Linked DNA regions of Drosophila melanogaster. The gene in region 3 interacts genetically with the main gene of each other region. Each region holds a gene or a part of one and is shown on either strand. Other genes may lie near its edges.

What was found.
Region 1: of Sp7 (region 3) and Spn77Ba, changing one suppresses a phenotype caused by changing the other (phenotypic suppression), as found in Drosophila melanogaster (one study listed by BioGRID).
Region 2: of Sp7 (region 3) and Fadd, changing one enhances a phenotype caused by changing the other (phenotypic enhancement), as found in Drosophila melanogaster (one study listed by BioGRID).

What each region holds. Positions count from the first base shown.
Region 1 is NT_037436.4:20,314,848-20,321,502, reverse strand, and holds Spn77Ba (serpin 77Ba), read right to left. Parts: upstream 4,314-6,655; 5' UTR 3,731-4,313; coding exon 3,715-3,730; intron 3,120-3,714; coding exon 2,690-3,119; intron 2,633-2,689; coding exon 2,362-2,632; intron 2,306-2,361; coding exon 1,937-2,305; intron 1,879-1,936; coding exon 1,612-1,878; 3' UTR 1,387-1,611; downstream 1-1,386. Other genes in the region: Spn77Bb (serpin 77Bb), read right to left, coding at 1-234, 302-462; alphaSnap (alpha soluble NSF attachment protein), read right to left, coding at 5,956-6,105, 6,200-6,520, 6,580-6,655.
Region 2 is NT_033777.3:22,032,424-22,036,918, forward strand, and holds Fadd (Fas-associated death domain), read left to right. Parts: upstream 1-2,031; 5' UTR 2,032-2,139; coding exon 2,140-2,859; 3' UTR 2,860-3,194; downstream 3,195-4,495. Other genes in the region: CG6015 (uncharacterized protein), read right to left, coding at 1-336, 397-875, 941-1,658; CG45099 (uncharacterized protein), read right to left, coding at 1,659-1,763; pit (pitchoune), read left to right, coding at 3,412-3,592, 3,653-3,874, 4,084-4,495.
Region 3 is NT_033777.3:7,757,179-7,764,322, forward strand, and holds Sp7 (serine protease 7), read left to right. Parts: upstream 1-2,607; 5' UTR 2,608-2,745; intron 2,746-3,558; 5' UTR 3,559-4,008; coding exon 4,009-4,096; intron 4,097-4,828; coding exon 4,829-5,215; intron 5,216-5,278; coding exon 5,279-5,387; intron 5,388-5,456; coding exon 5,457-5,743; intron 5,744-5,856; coding exon 5,857-6,161; 3' UTR 6,162-6,248; downstream 6,249-7,144. Other genes in the region: CG10919 (uncharacterized protein), read left to right, coding at 1,092-1,396, 1,449-1,571, 2,301-2,436. UniProt on the Drosophila melanogaster protein: Serine protease that, by cleaving and activating prophenoloxidase (PPO1) after immune challenge, plays an essential role in the melanization immune response to septic wounding.

The DNA.
Region 1 (6,655 bases), on a different chromosome or scaffold from region 3:
CTATAAGAACTGAAGATTTTCGCATGAGAGGCTTTGTCGATATCGTCGTTGATTATTATACTCGCCCCCTGGTCGAAGTCCACACCCCTTGGCCGACCCTCTCGAAGAACCACATTTCCTTCTCCTACTCCTTCTAGGACTACACTGTTGTACCCTTTCACGAGTTCTAAATCTCCTACGTCGTCGTAGTAAGCGTAACGCAGCGAAAACAGTTTTGTGTTTTCCGAATTTAAACTAGAATTTAAAGAAAAAGACATTGAAAATTCTAATAGATGTAGTTTCTGAGTAATGTGGTACTTACTAGTGATAAGCTCGGACATCCTCGTACCACCTGCGCAGTGTTGGATAATCGACATAGATCCCCAGGACATCGCGCAGCTCATTGACGGTATACCCTTCTGCTCCCTCGTAGAACATGATCATGAGCACCATGCCAAAAAGCCCCAGAAATCCGAGCTTCATATTGTCAACAAAATTTACTTGGCTAGACCGATAAGAAATATTTCAGCTGAAGCAAAAATATCATTTACTTTTCTTACCTCTTTGTGCACCCGAAGACTACTCAAAACTGTTTTTTTATTTACAAAAAACTATATTTATATGATTTACTTTCGTTAATTTGTGGAGTTCAATATTCCAAGCCATGTATACTTTATTTTTATGTTCCCGTTTTTTTGCACGTGCCTTGCATTTTTTATATCAGTTACTCGTAGATTTTGTCATGAGTATGTAAAATAAAGTAAAAAAAGTAAAGTAAAAAAATGTTTCAGTAAAGAGTTTTGTTAGTAAAAACTTCCAAAAAACGGTCCTTCTGGCGGCACAAGCACGTTTAATAGCTGCAGCTTATGTTTCCTTATCTTCGTATTGCTTTACTCCTTCGTATACCTTCCGTATTTTGCGATCTGGAGAATAGTAGTGGCCAGGTCACGCTATTAACGTTTTAGCTCGAAATAAAAGACATTGCTAATCGACAAGGAATTGAATCAAACAGATATTTTAATTTTGGGAATACGGACTCCAGCTCTACTCTTCTCCCACTCTATCGACCACAAGTCGGTCAAATCTGGCAAAATTTCTGAAAGAGAACGATTTTTTTGGATTTTTTTAGTTTCCTTATCCATAATATCCAGTGACATGGCGAAGGAACACCAAAAGTGCCCGAAGTTGTTCAGACCATTCAACTAATTTGCAGCTGCTAATTTTACAGTGTTCATTACAGCAGTTTTTCAGCTGTACTACGCGTTTTATTCGATATTTTCAAAGATTTTCAAAGCCGCAAGAGGGCGCTGATGTAGAAAGCTTGGCATCAGTAATACCAAGATCGTCGCGTAAATTAATATTATTTATATTCTTTAATAAGAATACGTTAACAACTTTTACATGTGACGAAAATATAGCGGTACAGTGAGACTTCCCCATTGTGCTGCTTACTTGACGTATCCTGACAGATTTTAGTTCCTGGCCGTGACGTTAGAGGAATCTTTTGGGCTGCCACAGTAGTACAGAAGTGGTACATGAGGGAGTTGCAAGGATCCGTAATAAAATTCCCCCTTTTGTCTTAACGTAACGTATTTATTGTGGTATGTGAGTAAAGTGTGAGTCGGTGGACTTTTAGGCCGCCTTGGGATTCCGCACTTGTCCGGCGAAGAGGAGAAGTCCGGTTGCCTTCTCTACGATCATGTACTGGAAGGGCCGGTTGAGCAGGAACTTGGGCGGTGTGGCCTTGTTGGCCAGCGCTGCCTCCGTGACGGCTCCCGCCGTGGTTCCCTGTTCGTCCACAATGATCTTGGTTGAGTGGACGACCAGCTTGGCAAACAAGCCGGAAGACATTCGGTCCAGGTTGGCTGTATTCTCGTCGAACAGATCGCGAATGCCCATCTAGAATTAGAAGTTATTTACAAATGTATTTCCAGATTGGATTTAGAAGTTCTGTCACCTGGATGAGGACTCCCTTAAGAGTGAAATCTGTGGCAGTCACAAACTTGGGCATCATGACCTCCACTTCGTTGTCCTCGGAGGCCCTGTTCCTGAATGCCGCCAGTCGCTGGAGGATGGGCCTCAATCCCAAGGCCTTCAGATTATTGGCTACGTCGTTTAGCTTGAATCCGCGCTTGGGCAGCACCACGATCATCGCCAGACGATCCTGGGTGCCGTAGGGCAGCTCCAGCACATAGCCATCCAAACCCTCTACGTTTGAGACGTAGGCGAAGTTCGCTTCCTGCACCATCATGGGAATCTTTCCAATGACTTCGCCGCTCTCGCTGAAAAAGGGTTCCTCTCTTGTCAGCGTTTTGTTGAAGGGAAACTGCAAGCGAAAACGATATATCGAAGGATTTGCAAGTGGACAAGTTCACTTCCCACCTTCCATTGGCCCTTGAAGTACAGAGACGAGAGCAGAAACATCTTCGCTCCATATACATCCTGTGGCAGAATGGTATAAGGAATCAGACCGCGGGTCGTGCGATTTGTGTCCTCGTTGATCTGGATCACCGAATCCGGGCTATAGAAGTCCACTTCCATCGGCTGGACATTGTAGTTTTGAATAGCATCGCGGTAGTTGTTCTTGATGGGATACCCCTTGCCGGTGTATATGGCCTGCAGGGTGGCTACTTCGATGGTGGAAGTGGTGATGCTTAGAAGAGGGAAGGGGGTCACCGCGATCCATAAATATGCAATCCTATAAACTCACTTCAGAAATGAGCTCCAAACCTTGTAGGCGCCCCGAAGCTTTTCGTCCTCGACATTGATCCGCAGGCTTTTTTTCAACTGGTTGCGGGTCTCTCCCTCGGATCCCTCGTAGAGAAGCACCAGGAGTGACCAGACGGAAAAGGGCGATATCATGAAATCCTTGTTGGCCTTCTCCACTTCAACGGATATGCGCTGCAGGAGATCGAGGGCGAAGTCCTGGACCCCCTGCGAAATGCTGACCAGGACATCCGTGTCGAAGTTGCTTCTCATGGACTGGATATGGCTGACGCCACTTTGGAAAGCCGTGGGAGCTGTGAATGCGGTAAGGGGATTGCCCACTGAAAGCTGGAGGGGCGCTTGGTTGTTCTGAGGATCCGCCGAGCACAGGAAGATGGCTCCCAGGAGTAGTGGAATCCATAGCATCAGGCAATCTGGATTAAGATGTGCATTAGAACGTCATTTCATTAAGGATCATGATGTTAAAAGCCGCACTAAAATTATTGTATTATTTTACACCAACATCATTTTAAAATGCGTTAAAGATGGATAATTTTATAAATTTCGAGTTAAATAATCATTTTACGGTAACTGTTTTCCATCGGAATATAATTTTATTATTCATTTCAGAATGTAAGTTTAAACCATATACATATGCAGTTAGCCAATTGTCCTTGAACTCCGTATGAGTTAAACCAACAACTCGATTTTGAAAAACTGCCTGAAAATCCGGCATAGCTATTTCCGGTCTAATCAAATCGAATGAAATTCAAAGGCACTCGCGTGAGTACTATGTACATATAGTATTCCCAGATGCGTAAAAATAAGCATTTTCCAATTGATAGCGATGATCCATTGACGACCTCATGTGTTTGTACGTAATACAAAATGTATATATGTATGTACATAATATGTGTTTGCTGTGCACACACGAGTACTTGTAAATTTTAAATCTCTTTATTGATTGCCTCTAAAACAACATCCCCGCCTCTGGGAAATATTCCATAATTAATTGACCACGAAGCTTACCTGCGATTTTACCCATTTTTTGTGGCTGCGATCAAGAATTGGCTCAAGCCTCGCTTATCAGGCCTTCAGGCCGGGCTTTTAATATTATTTATAATTGGGCCTTCAGGCAGGGCTTTTAAAATTTTTATAATAATTGCGCACACAAATGAATCACACTTTTGCTTAACCATGTGGGTGTGCATCAATTATTGAGAGGCTTTTAAACCTTTTATTGATGTATTTTGGGGTTTTTCGATGTTGACAAAGCGACGTTCATCTATATGTCTCTATACACTGTTGTCGGTCGGTGTTATTCGAAAACCGGAATGCACTGAGGGGAATTCCACATATATTATGTATACAAATACACGCTCGCAAGGAGACCATACGTACAGGTGGGTGGGGTGTTCGCGTATGCGGTTGCCGCTTATATAATTCTATATATTTATTTCAATTTGTGAACCCAGCTACTGGTGGTTTTCGGTTTTGCCAAGATTTTGATGCCAGATCGAACCCACGTCCACACAACTCCCCACAAACAATGTCAACCTAACGCACGAGCATCAGCTGAGTGACTGAGTGACTGAGAGACTGCTCCATCGACCATTCAGCACCGTACTGATATGGTCATCCCATCCCACCGCCACCGCCATCGTCCCACAGCCGGGTCCAAATCAGTTCAGACTCGGATTCAGATGCGAGAGCCGCAGCGAGAGAACGCGGTATTGATATTGGCAGACCTTTGTCTGCCGCTCTTGACAATGAAGCCTCATTCGCGAAATGGAAATCAGGTGGAATCACTACTATGAGTTGCAGCTAATCCGATGGTGAAACTGGTTGAAATGCCGGGTTAACTCCAGTAACTCACCTTTAGATCACATCTACATCAACTGTGCCTGAATCCAAGATATTTTAAAAGGTAACTACATGTATTCAAATGTATATGCAATATTGTAAGCTCGTGGATGGATGGTTAAGATGACATCAAATATGAGCTGTAGAAGACATATGCAGGTAGCTCTCAACTGTGTTTTATAATCATACAAATGAATGTTTTCAATACCAGTAAGTTTACAAGTGCAATAAACAACAAACTTCAAGGTAAAAAACATTTTTTTTTCCCAAGTGACAGGTGCAAACTAATGATATACTAGAAAGACAATGCTTATGGATGGACTGGAATATATGCTAGGCACCATTTTAGGAAACATCGATGGATACGAAGAGAGGATGACAGGATTAATCCAAGCGTTAACTTTATTAAAGTATTTGAATTGGAAATATCCGTGGTAACGCTTGCATAGAGGCATTACCAGGATCTTTGCAGTATTAATAATTAAATGTGTTGGGTCAGGTTTCAGTGGTGTTGTGTGTTTCCTGGAGATCTTCATTCAATAAATTCAATAATTGATTTATTTATTCTTGCTTCGGCCTCGACGACCGCGTAATCTTCGTCGCTCCGTCGTAATATTATTTATTGGATTATAATTCGCTCGTACATGTTGATCTACTAAACATCGTTAAAATTTTGCGAGATGGAATTTTCTATAAATGTGACCCTCAAGTATTTATTAGAATTCCGTGTACTTTTTGGATATTTATCGGGGTAATCGGTAATGTTTATGTGGACATATATTTTATTTGTAGGTTGTGTATATGCGTACAATCTAAACTTTAGGTTTAATTTTATTTCAGTGCACTAAATGGAATTATAATTGGTTTGAAATTCATTTTCGCTACCAGGGACTCTTTAGTTAATCTCAAAATTATCTAACACATTACACACATAGAATGAAGTTCTCAATTTATTATAGTAGTGGATACAGATTTCTATAGGGTACTTTACGCATCCAAATGGAACATCAGCTAACCCACTGATTGATTGGCTACTTACACAAATAACAAGAGTAACGCAAAAACAGACAAACATAAGTAACACCTCTAATCACTCCACATTGGAAATAATAAAGTTTTTCTTTTGAATAGCACGTGGTAGCGCAATTTGAGCCTCGGCATCTGCTGCCTTCTTCATTCGTTGCATAAACGTTAAATTAAACTCTAGAATACGGGAATATAGACTATTCCATAGGTTTAATTCACGCGTACAAGCTGGCCGTCGTTTGGGTGCTTTCAGGTTAAGCAATGCAACACGTTTAATAATTTTCTTTTAGTTATATATGTATAGGTAGATTAATATCCGAACCGAATAAAGCATTTAATAAATGTGTACGCGATTTTATCCGAAAATTTAATTGATTTCGTTTATCGCAGATCGGGATCCTCGTCCGCAGCCTTCTTGATCCGCAGCAAGATGGTGGTGTACCACTGATCCAACCGGGAGATGCTGTCGTAGTCCTTGACGGCCTCTGTGAATCCCTCGATGTTCTGTTCCTCTAGATTCTCGCACAACACCTGTAATTCGAAAAGCGTCTTAAAGTAAATATCTGCGAAAACCAAAGACGACACACACACACCAAAGATAAAACTTAAGCAAACTGATACCCACCTTGATGAGCTTGAACTCCCTGGAGTCCTGGAATGCTGGGTACTGCTGCGCATACTTTTCGATGGCATGCTGGGCGTTCAGGAGGTCCACGCTGAGATGGCATAGAGCGGCCCTGAAGAAGTACTCCTTGGCACTGTACTTGAGCAGAGAGCTCTCCAGCGAGGAGGCGGCCACCTGCTCGTATATGGATATTGCTTTCTCGTAATCCTCCAGTTGGGCGGCGTACTGGGCCACCTTCAACATGCACTTGTTGGCCGAACTGACCGACTCTTCACCCTTGAAGTAATCAGCCGCCTGCTCATAGTGCTGAATAGACTTGGCCTGAAAGGGAAATGGTCCATTAATATGTAATTAGCATGGAGGCGCACACGGGAACCCACCAGATTATTGGGATCACTTTCGTACATCTCGGCGATGCTTTGGTGATGTTTGGCAGCCATCGTAAAGCGGCCCATA
Region 2 (4,495 bases), about 14 Mb from region 3:
CAGCTGGCAGGCGTAGCCAGAGACCATGTGACCGGTGAAGGTCTTTTTGCGGTTCATCTTGAAGCGATTGAGGGCGGAGAAGATGACGATCTTGTTGTCTAACGACTGGCAGGCCATCCATTTGCCATTGGGCGCCAATGTGACCGCCGGCATGGAATGCATAGTGGGGTCGGCAATGTACTTCATGTCCACAGGAATGTCCCACTCCCATATGCGCATCGATTTGTCGTCCGAGGTGGTCACAAACCGTCGGTTGTCGTCCACAAAGGTGATGGTGCTCACAGATCCCAAGTGCCGGTCGTATTCCTGTACAATATCACCGCTGCGAGTGTCCCACTGCGAATTGATAGGAAAACAATTGTAACATGAGCATCTACTTTTGTAAATTTTACTTACACAAATGATCTTCTTGTCGGAGGTGCCGGCAACGAACAAATGTTGCTTGCTATTATCCGGATGGAATTTCACACAGAAAGGCATTTTACGCGTTGTGAATCGGGACACTACATCGCCCGTTTCGGCATCCCACAACTTTATGTAGCGATCATACGAGGCAGACAGGAAGTTGGTACCCCTGTTGTTCCACGCAATATCCTTGATGGCCTGCCGGTGACCGGAGAAGGTGCGTATGCAGCGTCGCTCGCCGTAAACCTCCCACAGTTTGACGCGACAGTCCATCGATCCGGAGAGCAGAAGATGAGCGGTCTTGGGGAACCAGCGGATGGAGGAGATGCCCTTGTTGTGGCCCGACCAGGTGTGTATGTGCGCCTTGGGCAGAAAGCATTTGGTCGGTGGTGCATTCGATCGTAGATTCACGCCCAGATCATGAGGAGCATGCAAATAAGAGCGGCCCTGATAGTCGTACGCATCCTTGACTGTGGAGCAAAAAAGGAAAAGATTATTAACGATATATATTCGGTGGCTATTGGATTAAACTCACTGTGCAGCGTCGACTTCTCCTCGAGCGGCTTATCCTCGGGAATGCGTCCGCGCTTATGTCGCTTAGACAGCAGCTCGTCCAGTTCGGCGCGCTCCTGTTCATTTGGCTTTGCCACCGACACCTCGTTTTCGAACTTGCCCCAGGGACCCAGAAAGCCCTCAATGTCCTCGGGATTATCATTTTTCTCCTGCTTGCGCAGTTTCTTTGCCTTGGGCGGCTCAAATACCGTCTTGCCATTGTCATCGTACGCAGACTGCAGGTCACCCACAAAAGACTGGCCGTCCGCCTGATCGTCTACGCTGGGGTCCAATGCGTAGCCGTAGGTGTGAAAGGTGCGTCGCTGGTTCTCAAATTCGAAGGCATTGATGTGGGCCTTCTCTACGTAGCCGGCTAGGGTGTTCCGCGGAGCGCGCTGCTGCATGGTGAGGTCCGGATGCTCCGGACCTTTTACCGGAGCATACATCTCCTCATAGCGCGGATTGTAGGTTACCTCCTTGAGCGTGGGATCCAGAGTTCGGGGCACGGCCGATGCTCCAAGGGGAACCACCGTTGGCGCCGCACAAACAGCAATGGACTTGGATAGCGAGTGTGTCTTGTCCACGGGCAGCAGGTGATCCGGAATGGGAGCGGAGGGCTCTGAATTCGTGGTGGCTGTGGCGGCGTCCGCATGGTCCGATTCTTCATCCGAGGAACTGGCGTATGACTGAAGGCCCAACATTTAGAGGCTGCGGACGAACTCTGTGTACTTGTTAACGAAATGCTGAAGGTAAATCAAGACCAGAGTGTAGAGGAGGAATACGAAAACGTTAATGGATATTTCCATTCGTCTACACGTTTGCGTTTATCATTAGTTGCTTCAGTAAAAGTAACAAAAACATAAATATATATCTATCAAAACTAGGGATGGTGCGTGCCATCTGTTATCGATGTTATCGAATGGCTATGTAACGGTCTCACTAATAGATCCCAAACATGCAAGGTGGTGCAAGTTTAAAGCTTATTTTAAATTTTTTAAGTTGTATGGAAATAGTATTTGATATTTTTTTGCTCATTTTGCTCAAACACCTATTCAGTGCTGATCGATAACAGGTAAGGAAATGTTTGGCCATACGGTCATACTACATCAGGGAGTGAAGTTGCGTTGATACATTTTGGGAACTTAAGACCGCTGAAAATACCGTCTCTGTAAATTAGTCACAATGACTGCAGGCAGGCACTGGAGCTACGACAGCCTCAAACAAATCGCCATTGATGGATGCACCGAGAACGTGGAGCAGTTGAAACTAATTTTTGTCGAAGAGATTGGTTCGCGACGCAGATCGGATTGCATACGAACCATCGAGGATTTAATTGACTGCCTGGAACGAGCGGACGAACTATCGGAGTACAATGTGGAGCCACTGCGCCGGATATCAGGCAATATGCCACAGCTCATCGAGGCTCTGAGCGCCTACACAAAGCCGGAAAACATTCTTGGACATCCGGTTAATCTGTACCAGGAACTCCGATTGGCCGAGGAACTTCGTCAGCAGCTCCGTATTGCTCCAGCTTCCCAGAATGCTCAGCCATCAGTTTCGGAATTAGCTGCCGCTGTGCCTCCAACAGCAATCCAAAACTATGCCACCCCAGCTGCTTTTACGGATCACAAACGAACGATGGTCTTTAAGAAAATATCCGAGGAACTGGGTCGCTATTGGCGACGACTGGGCCGATCGGCGGGCATTGGCGAGGGCCAAATGGACACAATCGAGGAGCGCTACCCGCACGACTTGAAGTCCCAGATTCTGCGACTGCTGCAGCTCATCGAAGAGGATGATTGCCACGATCCCAAGCACTTTCTGCTTCGTCTGTGTCGCGCCCTGGGCGATTGTGGTCGCAATGATCTGCGCAAGAGGGTGGAGCAGATAATGTCGCACTAGAACGCATTCACTTATATGCACTTTATATGCATTTTGTTACGATACTAGTAATTAATGTGCTGGAGAGCGACAAAGATGTGCCTTTATTGTAATTATTCACATGTTATTCCAAGGTTGGACAGAGCATAAAAATCGCACACTAAATTAATATGTGTCAACGCGGAATTGTACGATCTTATAAGAAAATGTGATTGACGTATTCCATTCAAAATGGGAATTCACATTTCCTTATCATAAGATAGTCTACAAAAAATATTGTTAACTCGTAATACACAAGTCACATAGTTGAAGATAGCAATGTACAATGGATATAAAATACGTTTTGCAAACGCTTTTGCTTCTCTTATCCTCAAAAGACGGTTGAAAATTTGTTTACAAATAGGGTCACACCTTTTGCATTGAACTATCGAATTGGCAATTATCGATAGGCACAGCTGGCTGAATATCGTTTGCTTCGGGGTGAATGGTTAGCAACACGTGCGCGCAATATTTTATTTGAGAATTCTGTTTTTAACCATTAAACTCTATTAAAAAGCATACATAGTTAGCAATATGTCTATTCGGGAGAAGCTGCTGATGAAGAAGATCGTTAAGCGGGAGAAGATGAAGAAGGAGCTCTCGCAGAAGAAGGGAAACAAGAACGCCCAAAAGCAGGAGCCACCCAAACAAAATGGCAATAAACCCAGTAAAAAACCGGAGAAACTCAGTAAAAAGCATGTGGCCAAGGATGAGGGTACGATTAAAAACGTGTGTGCCTAATAAATATATGTAAGATTCACTTTTCGACCCGCAGATGACGACTTAGAGGAGGATTTCCAGGAGGCGCCGCTGCCCAAGAAGAAGCAACAAAAACAGCCTCCAAAAAAGCAACAAATTCAGGTGGCCAACTCGGATTCGGAATCAGATGACGATGAGCAGGAGGATGAGGCAGATGAGGATAGCGATTTGGACGAAGTAGCCGAAGTTGATGAGGAGGATGTTGACAGCGGGAGTGAAGATGATGACCAGCAGGAAGGTAAGTAAAAGTGTCGATATTTAGGGAATTCGTTCTAACTACCAATAATAATGATGATTTTTAAAGGCGAATTTGAGCAGCTCTGGTGCAGCGAGTTAATGTTGCCCAGGGCAGGCATGAAATCCATTTAAAAACCAACTGAATTATATAAAATACTAAAAAACTGTATCCCTGTGAAAACCAAAATTAACCAAGAGTACCTGTTTCAGATGAAGATGAAGAAGAACCTGTGCCAGCCAAGAAAACGAAGTTGCTTCCCAACAAGTCCAAGGCACAGAATGGCAAACCAGCTAAAGACGACGAGCCCTTTACCGTGGAATCCTCACTGGCTGCACTGGATTACCGAGATTCGGATGATCGCAGCTTTGCCTCTTTAAAGGGCGCCGTGTCCGAGGCCACATTGCGAGCCATTAAGGAGATGGGTTTTACCGAGATGACTGAAATTCAGTCGAAATCGCTGACACCCCTACTAAAGGGACGGGATCTGGTGGGTGCTGCCCAGACGGGTTCCGGCAAAACCCTGGCCTTCCTGATACCCGCCGTCGAGCTGATAAACAAGCTGAGGTTTATGCCACGCAATGGTACCGGCGTGATCATCATCTCACCTACCCGAGAGTTGTC
Region 3 (7,144 bases):
TCAATTTGTGCCAGCAGCCAGCAGCCAGCAGCCGGCTGTGGAATTATGAATAGGCCGGCACAAAAACAAAGCAGCAAACAGCAGAAAGACATCGTGAATGGGCCAAGTGGAACGGCTTTCTGGGCCCCGACATGGGTTAAGGGACTAACGAGCGTTATACGGAGCGTTGGAGCATTCATTGGAGCTAAGCAGGATGCGAGGCGAGGGGCGGGCAGGCCAGGATTCGGAATGGATTCGAAGAGGATGGGATGGGATGGGTTGGAATGGTACTGCTTGGGATGGGATGACTACGCTTCGATGCCGACAGGCAAAGGAAAACAACTTTTGCGAAAGTTGTACTCGATTTGTGTTCTATTTTAGTGCTCCTGCTCGTCCTCTTCTGCTTCCATTTACATCACTACTTATGGCAAGCTGCATCGCATGAAATGCAAATGTTTATCTGCAAGGACTCAAAGTCGCTGGGGATGAACATACAAATTTCATGGTAAACTCTCTGATCGCTCCTGCAATTGGGATAAAAGGAAGCAAGGATTCATAGTTCGAGATACAAAAATTATCTAATCAATTCAATTTGGAAAGGTTCTTAAAAATGACGTAAACGTTTAATACCCTTTGTTAGTAAGCCGATTTTATTTTACAGAAAAGATAACAAGAGCAAATTGACGGCATATTAGTTTGGCATGTTTATGTTGATGAATAAACCAATAATAATCATTTCAACGTAAACCAAAAATTACATACAATCAGATTTTTCAAAAAAAAAAAAAAACAGATAGAAACATATTCATGTAAAAAAAACATATAGCCAATAAAAAAGCCGAACAAAACGAAGTTCGTCACCATTCCTAATTAAGAAAACAAAAACTTTATGCTGAGCAACTTAATCATCAAATGTTAATGTCATCTTGAACTAAAAAAATGCCAGTTTTGGCTTTTATCAAAATTATGAAAGTGTAAACAATCACTGCTTTAACTATCATCTATAACATTTATTTAGACCTTAACCAAAAAATATATTCACAAATTCCACAGAAGTATTCAAAATAATAACTCATACACGTAATACCCGGCACTTCAATACAACATCCAAAATGGAAGCCGCCAGTGAAAGAAAAACCCAGATTATGGAAAAGAGGAAGCTCATGGGCGACAAGAGGATGAGCATGGGAATGAAGTCCTTCTATGCCTCGGTAATGGGAAGCATTTTTCGTATGAGCGATGAGCAGCGGAACGCGTTTGCAGCCATGTATAGGCGCCACAAGGCTGACGCACAATATGTTAACAATAACTACGTTGATGATCCCGTGGAGGAGTACGTGCCTATTTATCAAACCGTATTCGATGACGACCGGGATCCCGTGCACGAGCCCACATTCTCTAAACACCGCATACCCCTGTAAGATTTCCAGCCAAACTTGTTACGGTCAAAATACTTCTTATTTCATTAGTCAGATACGTTGTCTGGAACGTTACCACAATTCCAAGCGGGAGTACGCCGATCAGTTCAAGCGGGAAATCAAACTTCTGATCGACAACCAGTCCACGGCGCAGGAGGCTTGGCAATTCGTAAGGTAAGCTGAAAATCTAGATTTAGTTACGCTTAATAATAGGTAATAGGTTTGAAAAGTAACAATCCAATACTCATTTGATTAAAGCACGCCTTAGGCAAACCCTTAATTGATCAGCCACTATTCGTATTAGTTCTCTTTTAATTTAGTCCTCACTATCATTTTTATTTCGCTATTTTTAGTTATAAATAAAGATAAAAGGATTAGAACCTGCTTCCAATAGAAATCGGTTCATTGTTCGACTCCCAAGTAATGTTCTCAGTTCAAGCTTTTCTTCATGGGTCACTTCAATAGATTTTATTTGCTTGTATTTCTATATTGTTTTTGACAATGCTGTCAAGAAAGTGTTGGAATTTATCCCTAGCTCTCCCACTAGCTGAGTAACAAGTATCTGTTAGTCGGGGAAATCGAGTATACCGTTCTCTATTTTGTTATTGTTGTTAATAGAAAAGAAGACGTTCATTGTGCGTTTCGTCACAATTTTTTCGTCAAAGTTTTTAATGTATTGTGTTTAGCTAAAATAGTTTTGAAAAGAATAGATCAAAAACATATTCTTTAGCCTCAGTCACTAATAATTGATAAAACTAAAGATTTTGAATTCAAAATACTAAAAAGTTTTTCAAAGTTTTTCATTTCTTTTGAGCCATATCATCTTCAATTGACAATCATTAGAAACCGTAAATACCAACTTTTCAAATTACTTTACTTATTTCCCTTTTGATTTTCTTACAGAACCATGGCCTATACCACACTTTGGCCGCCGCTGCACACAAGAAAAGAGCTCAAGATTTTCGAATTGGACTTTTGCAAGCTTAACCCTCAAGAGCAGAAGCGCTATAACAAAATAATGGCGACCAACTTTTCTTAGTCTTTAAGTTTTAATATATAAAATTTTATAATTTAAAAAAAAAATATATAAAATAATAAAAGCAACAAAAGTGTTGATGAAAACAATATCGTTCTGGGAATATAATAATTATCGGAAGCCCTCACAGTATTTCAGTATTTTTTATATATACTTTAAAGTCATTTAGTACGGCAACGTTACTAAAAATGGCGTGATTAACAAAAACGTGATAAGCAATAAAAAAAATATATCAAACGAAGTTTTTTCAGATTCCAGATTAATACACGCTTCCTTAACTTTGTAAAGGTTGTAAAATATGATCAAGTTTTGGTAGGTATGAGTGCAAAAATAAAATGCTGTCTGATCTTAACCAAAAGCCTTTTGAATAAAAAACATGAAGACTGTGCAAAAATGTTAAATTTTGATGCCACTTGTAAACATGTGCGCATTAAGGAGGGTGTTGAAATAGGAACTCAAAATCACGAAGGCACTTAACAACGCAAATAGTGAAGCTATTTAGTGAACACAGACTATTATATGTGACATAACAACCGGAAATTGCAGGATGATATGAAAAAGGTAAAATGCAACAACAAATACAGATAATCAGTAGCAAGAAATCATCGAAGTGTAGCACGGCAAAATAGGAGTTGACATGTATCTTTTAAGAAGACCTACCGAAATTTCAAACATCTTGATCCAGCCGGCCAAAACCGCATCTCTGTGCAATAATTCATCGATCGTGTCAACAAACTAGTTAGTGCCTACCAATGGGTCGAGAAGTCTCTACTACTTGCAATCTGTTCACGACACGAATCCAGCAAAGATGTAGCTCGATTCGTCTCCTGTGAAGCGTTGCAGAAGTACATTTCAATATGGGTAACGCCTGTTGTGACTTGAGGTATCTCGCCCTTCCATGACCAAAGGAGAAAAAGAATCCATGTTGTGAGAAATTTCAGAAGCCAAATAGAGTTTGCAAAGCTACAAATCTAAGTGGATGAGTATTTAGGAATTTTACATATGAAGACATTGTTCATCGGGCTGGATCACTGTTGAGGATCGACTTACAAAGCAAATTTTTGAATATTTTTGAATACATTTCACTACGTACAAAATATATACATTTAAACATAATATTTTCAGAGCGAGGCTGTTTTTGGGTCCAGCAAAAAATAATCTAAAAATGTTTTGATCTGTAAGAAGTACGTGCTTAGTGAGGTCTACCTGTATATAGGATCTGTACACTCTAGGGAGAAAGCATCAAAATCCGAGTACCAAAGCTTTTCAAAAGATCTCTTTCTTAGTTGTGATAAGCTCGGCTCAAGTCTCTTGATGGGCTTGAAAGCTTTACTCACGGCCTCTCTGGGACAGTATCTCTCAACGACGAATCGATTATCATCTGCGATCGCATTTAAAAAGTCTCTCGCCCGTTAATTCGCGATCAGTTGTCTCTGCGTATCGAAGGCGTTCGTAGTTTAATTTCGCTCTTCACGGTTCTCTGGTTCGAGGTCGACGCGCGTAATCGCAAAGACGCGTTCTTATTAAATAAGCTGTGAAATTTCTTATTAAAATTGGTGGGAAATATCCCAGAAGATGAAATCAACACGCAAAGTAGTTGGGATTTTTTTGGCCACCTGCCTGCTGCCTTTCACCGTTCTACAAAATGTTGCGGCACAAGGAAGTAAGTACCGAGCTATAAATATGTGATTCACTCAGAGCTGACTCATTAATTGAGACCGGTACTTATCCGTGTTAAGCGCAATAGCTTAACAGAATTCAATGCGGTTATCAGACTTGAACTTGAACAAATTTCCCATGTCAATGACTTAATTGAGCGCACTCGTGTATTCTTTCATTCTCCTCAATAAATTTTATGGGACCACTCGTCAAACAACATATTACATTATCAAGGGATTTGATTGATGTCAAAAAATTAATCGTATTTTTTATTATCAAGTAGCAACTCCTGACAATTTTAAATATCGTTCTTAATGCTTGTGTTCTCAAAAACGAAACATAATTGAAATAACGTATAAGTGCAATTTAAATGTTTATTAAACATAAACCAAATTCTTAATAGGATTTTTATAATTTGAAATTAATTAAGCTGCAAAATTAGGTCACTAATATTGACTACAATTATTGATAGCATAATCAAGCGAATTAAAATGTTTAATGAAGTCGTTTTTGACTTAAGTGTTTTGTTTTAATTCAACGACGTGCTGATTGATAGTATTATTGCTTAATTTATTTAAATTAAATAAATATTTATATTTAATTTAAATAGCTTTATCAGCAGGTTGATTTCCGAATTCAAAATTTCCCAAGTTGCCTTCATGTTTTATACCACTCTTAACTCATTTTGACAGGAGTAACTGATCTTCCTACTTGTGTCTTTAATTGTTATGTGTAGGTTGTAGGAATCCCAACCAGAAACAGGGACAATGTTTGTCCATATACGACTGTCAAAGTCTGCTTTCCGTGATTCAGCAGTCTTATGTCAGCCCGGAGGACAGAACCTTTCTTCGAAACTCACAGTGCCTCGATGGAGTAGGTCGCCAGCCATATGTTTGCTGTACAAGTGATCGCAGCTTTGGATCCCAGGAGGCCACCTCCGCAGCCCCTCCTCCAACGACTACCAGTTCAAGTTCACGAGGTCAAGACGGTCAAGCGGGTCTGGGCAACCTGCTGCCCTCGCCACCCAAGTGCGGGCCCCACTCCTTCAGCAATAAGGTCTATAATGGCAACGACACTGCTATTGACGAGTTCAACTGGATGGCACTGCTTGAGTACGTGGATAGTAAGTGACATCTTATATAAAATCATGTAACTTTAGTTAACGCATCTTTATCCATGTTGATAGACAGGGGACGGCGGGAACTCAGTTGCGGTGGCAGTTTGATCAACAATCGTTACGTTCTTACCGCCGCCCATTGCGTCATTGGTGCGGTGGAAACGGAAGTAGGTCACCTGTAAGTATTTACGTGGTTTGATGTTTATCCACGTTTTTAAATAACTAAATGAGTTGTGCCCCTATACAGAACTACCGTTCGGTTGGGGGAATACGATACCAGCAAGGACGTGGACTGCATAGATGACATTTGCAACCAGCCCATCCTACAATTGGGCATCGAACAGGCCACTGTACATCCCCAATATGATCCTGCCAACAAGAACCGCATTCACGACATTGCCTTATTGCGATTAGATCGGCCCGTTGTGCTTAATGAGTATATTCAGCCGGTTTGTTTGCCTTTGGTAAGCACACGAATGGCAATCAATACCGGGGAGCTCTTGGTGGTCAGCGGGTGGGGCCGAACCACAACAGGTGAGTTTGGATATTAAAGATACTTATATTCATTCTAAAGATATCAATTGAAGCTCTTGACCAAGAAGAATCTATAATTTCATAACTAATTGATTCAAATTCTTATTCTATAGCCCGCAAGAGCACCATAAAGCAGCGATTGGATCTGCCGGTGAATGACCACGATTACTGCGCACGAAAGTTCGCCACGAGGAATATCCACCTGATCAGTTCCCAGCTCTGTGTTGGCGGGGAATTCTACCGCGACAGCTGTGATGGCGACTCCGGCGGACCGCTGATGCGAAGGGGTTTTGACCAGGCTTGGTACCAGGAGGGCGTGGTCTCCTTTGGCAACCGCTGCGGACTAGAGGGTTGGCCAGGTGTCTACACTCGGGTAGCCGACTACATGGACTGGATCGTGGAGACCATTCGTCCCTGAGCAGCGGAACGAAGGCCGCTTTTGTTCTGATAATGTTTTAATTAAAGTCAAGTCGAGAGTGCTCTTTGGGCTGGGCGCCCATCCTTTAATTAACTTGCATTCAATGTGATTTTATCAGCTGCACTTACCACGCTGCGTATACTTAATGCGCTTACAGTCTAGCGCCGTTTGCGGTAATTAAAATCGCTGTTCCCCACTGGGATGGGATGGTGAGAGTTCAGTGGAATAACTTTCAAGATGCGGGCCAACTTGCCCAGAGGCACCTTCTTAGCGCCCCCAGCTATTTTCTATGCAATTTGGCAATGAATTTCTATTATGGAAGCAGTGCTTTTCAGAGCTTCCGGCGCTCCATCCGCAAAGTTTTCACTTGTTTGCTGGCTGATTGCACTGAAGGCGTGGCTAGGCTGGAAAACGAAGTAGACAATGGCTAGGCTCATTAATTGTGTGCACGCGGAAAGGTTAATGATGCCTGCAGGAACCGGTTAGCACGGACAAAGGGCTTGGGTTTCTTTACCAAATTTACAGAGTCCACATAACAGCTTTTTAATGCGGATCCAAATACAAGCGCAAGAAGTAAACGAGGATCGCAAAGGAATTTCAAACAACTTAACATATATATATAGTTGTTATAGTTTTATATAACATATATAGTTATAGTATATCCATCTTTCCTTCTTAACACGATGGATTTAAAGACGGCCGAATAAATGAATAAATAAATCCGAGCCCTGATAACCGAATCCCATCTCTAGTTGGACATACGCACTGTGTAAGAATATTTCTTTATTTTTTCTTTTATCTTTTTTATATTTTATTTTTGAGAAAATTCATTGCGTACACATGGAAAAAATGGATCGAAAGCCATTCATTTCCTTAAACCTATAAAAATTTGGATTGAAGACGGAAAGAACTTATCTAATAAAATGTTGGTTCTTGGAATAATTAAAAAAATCTGTATGAATAAACCACGAATTGGTGTTATT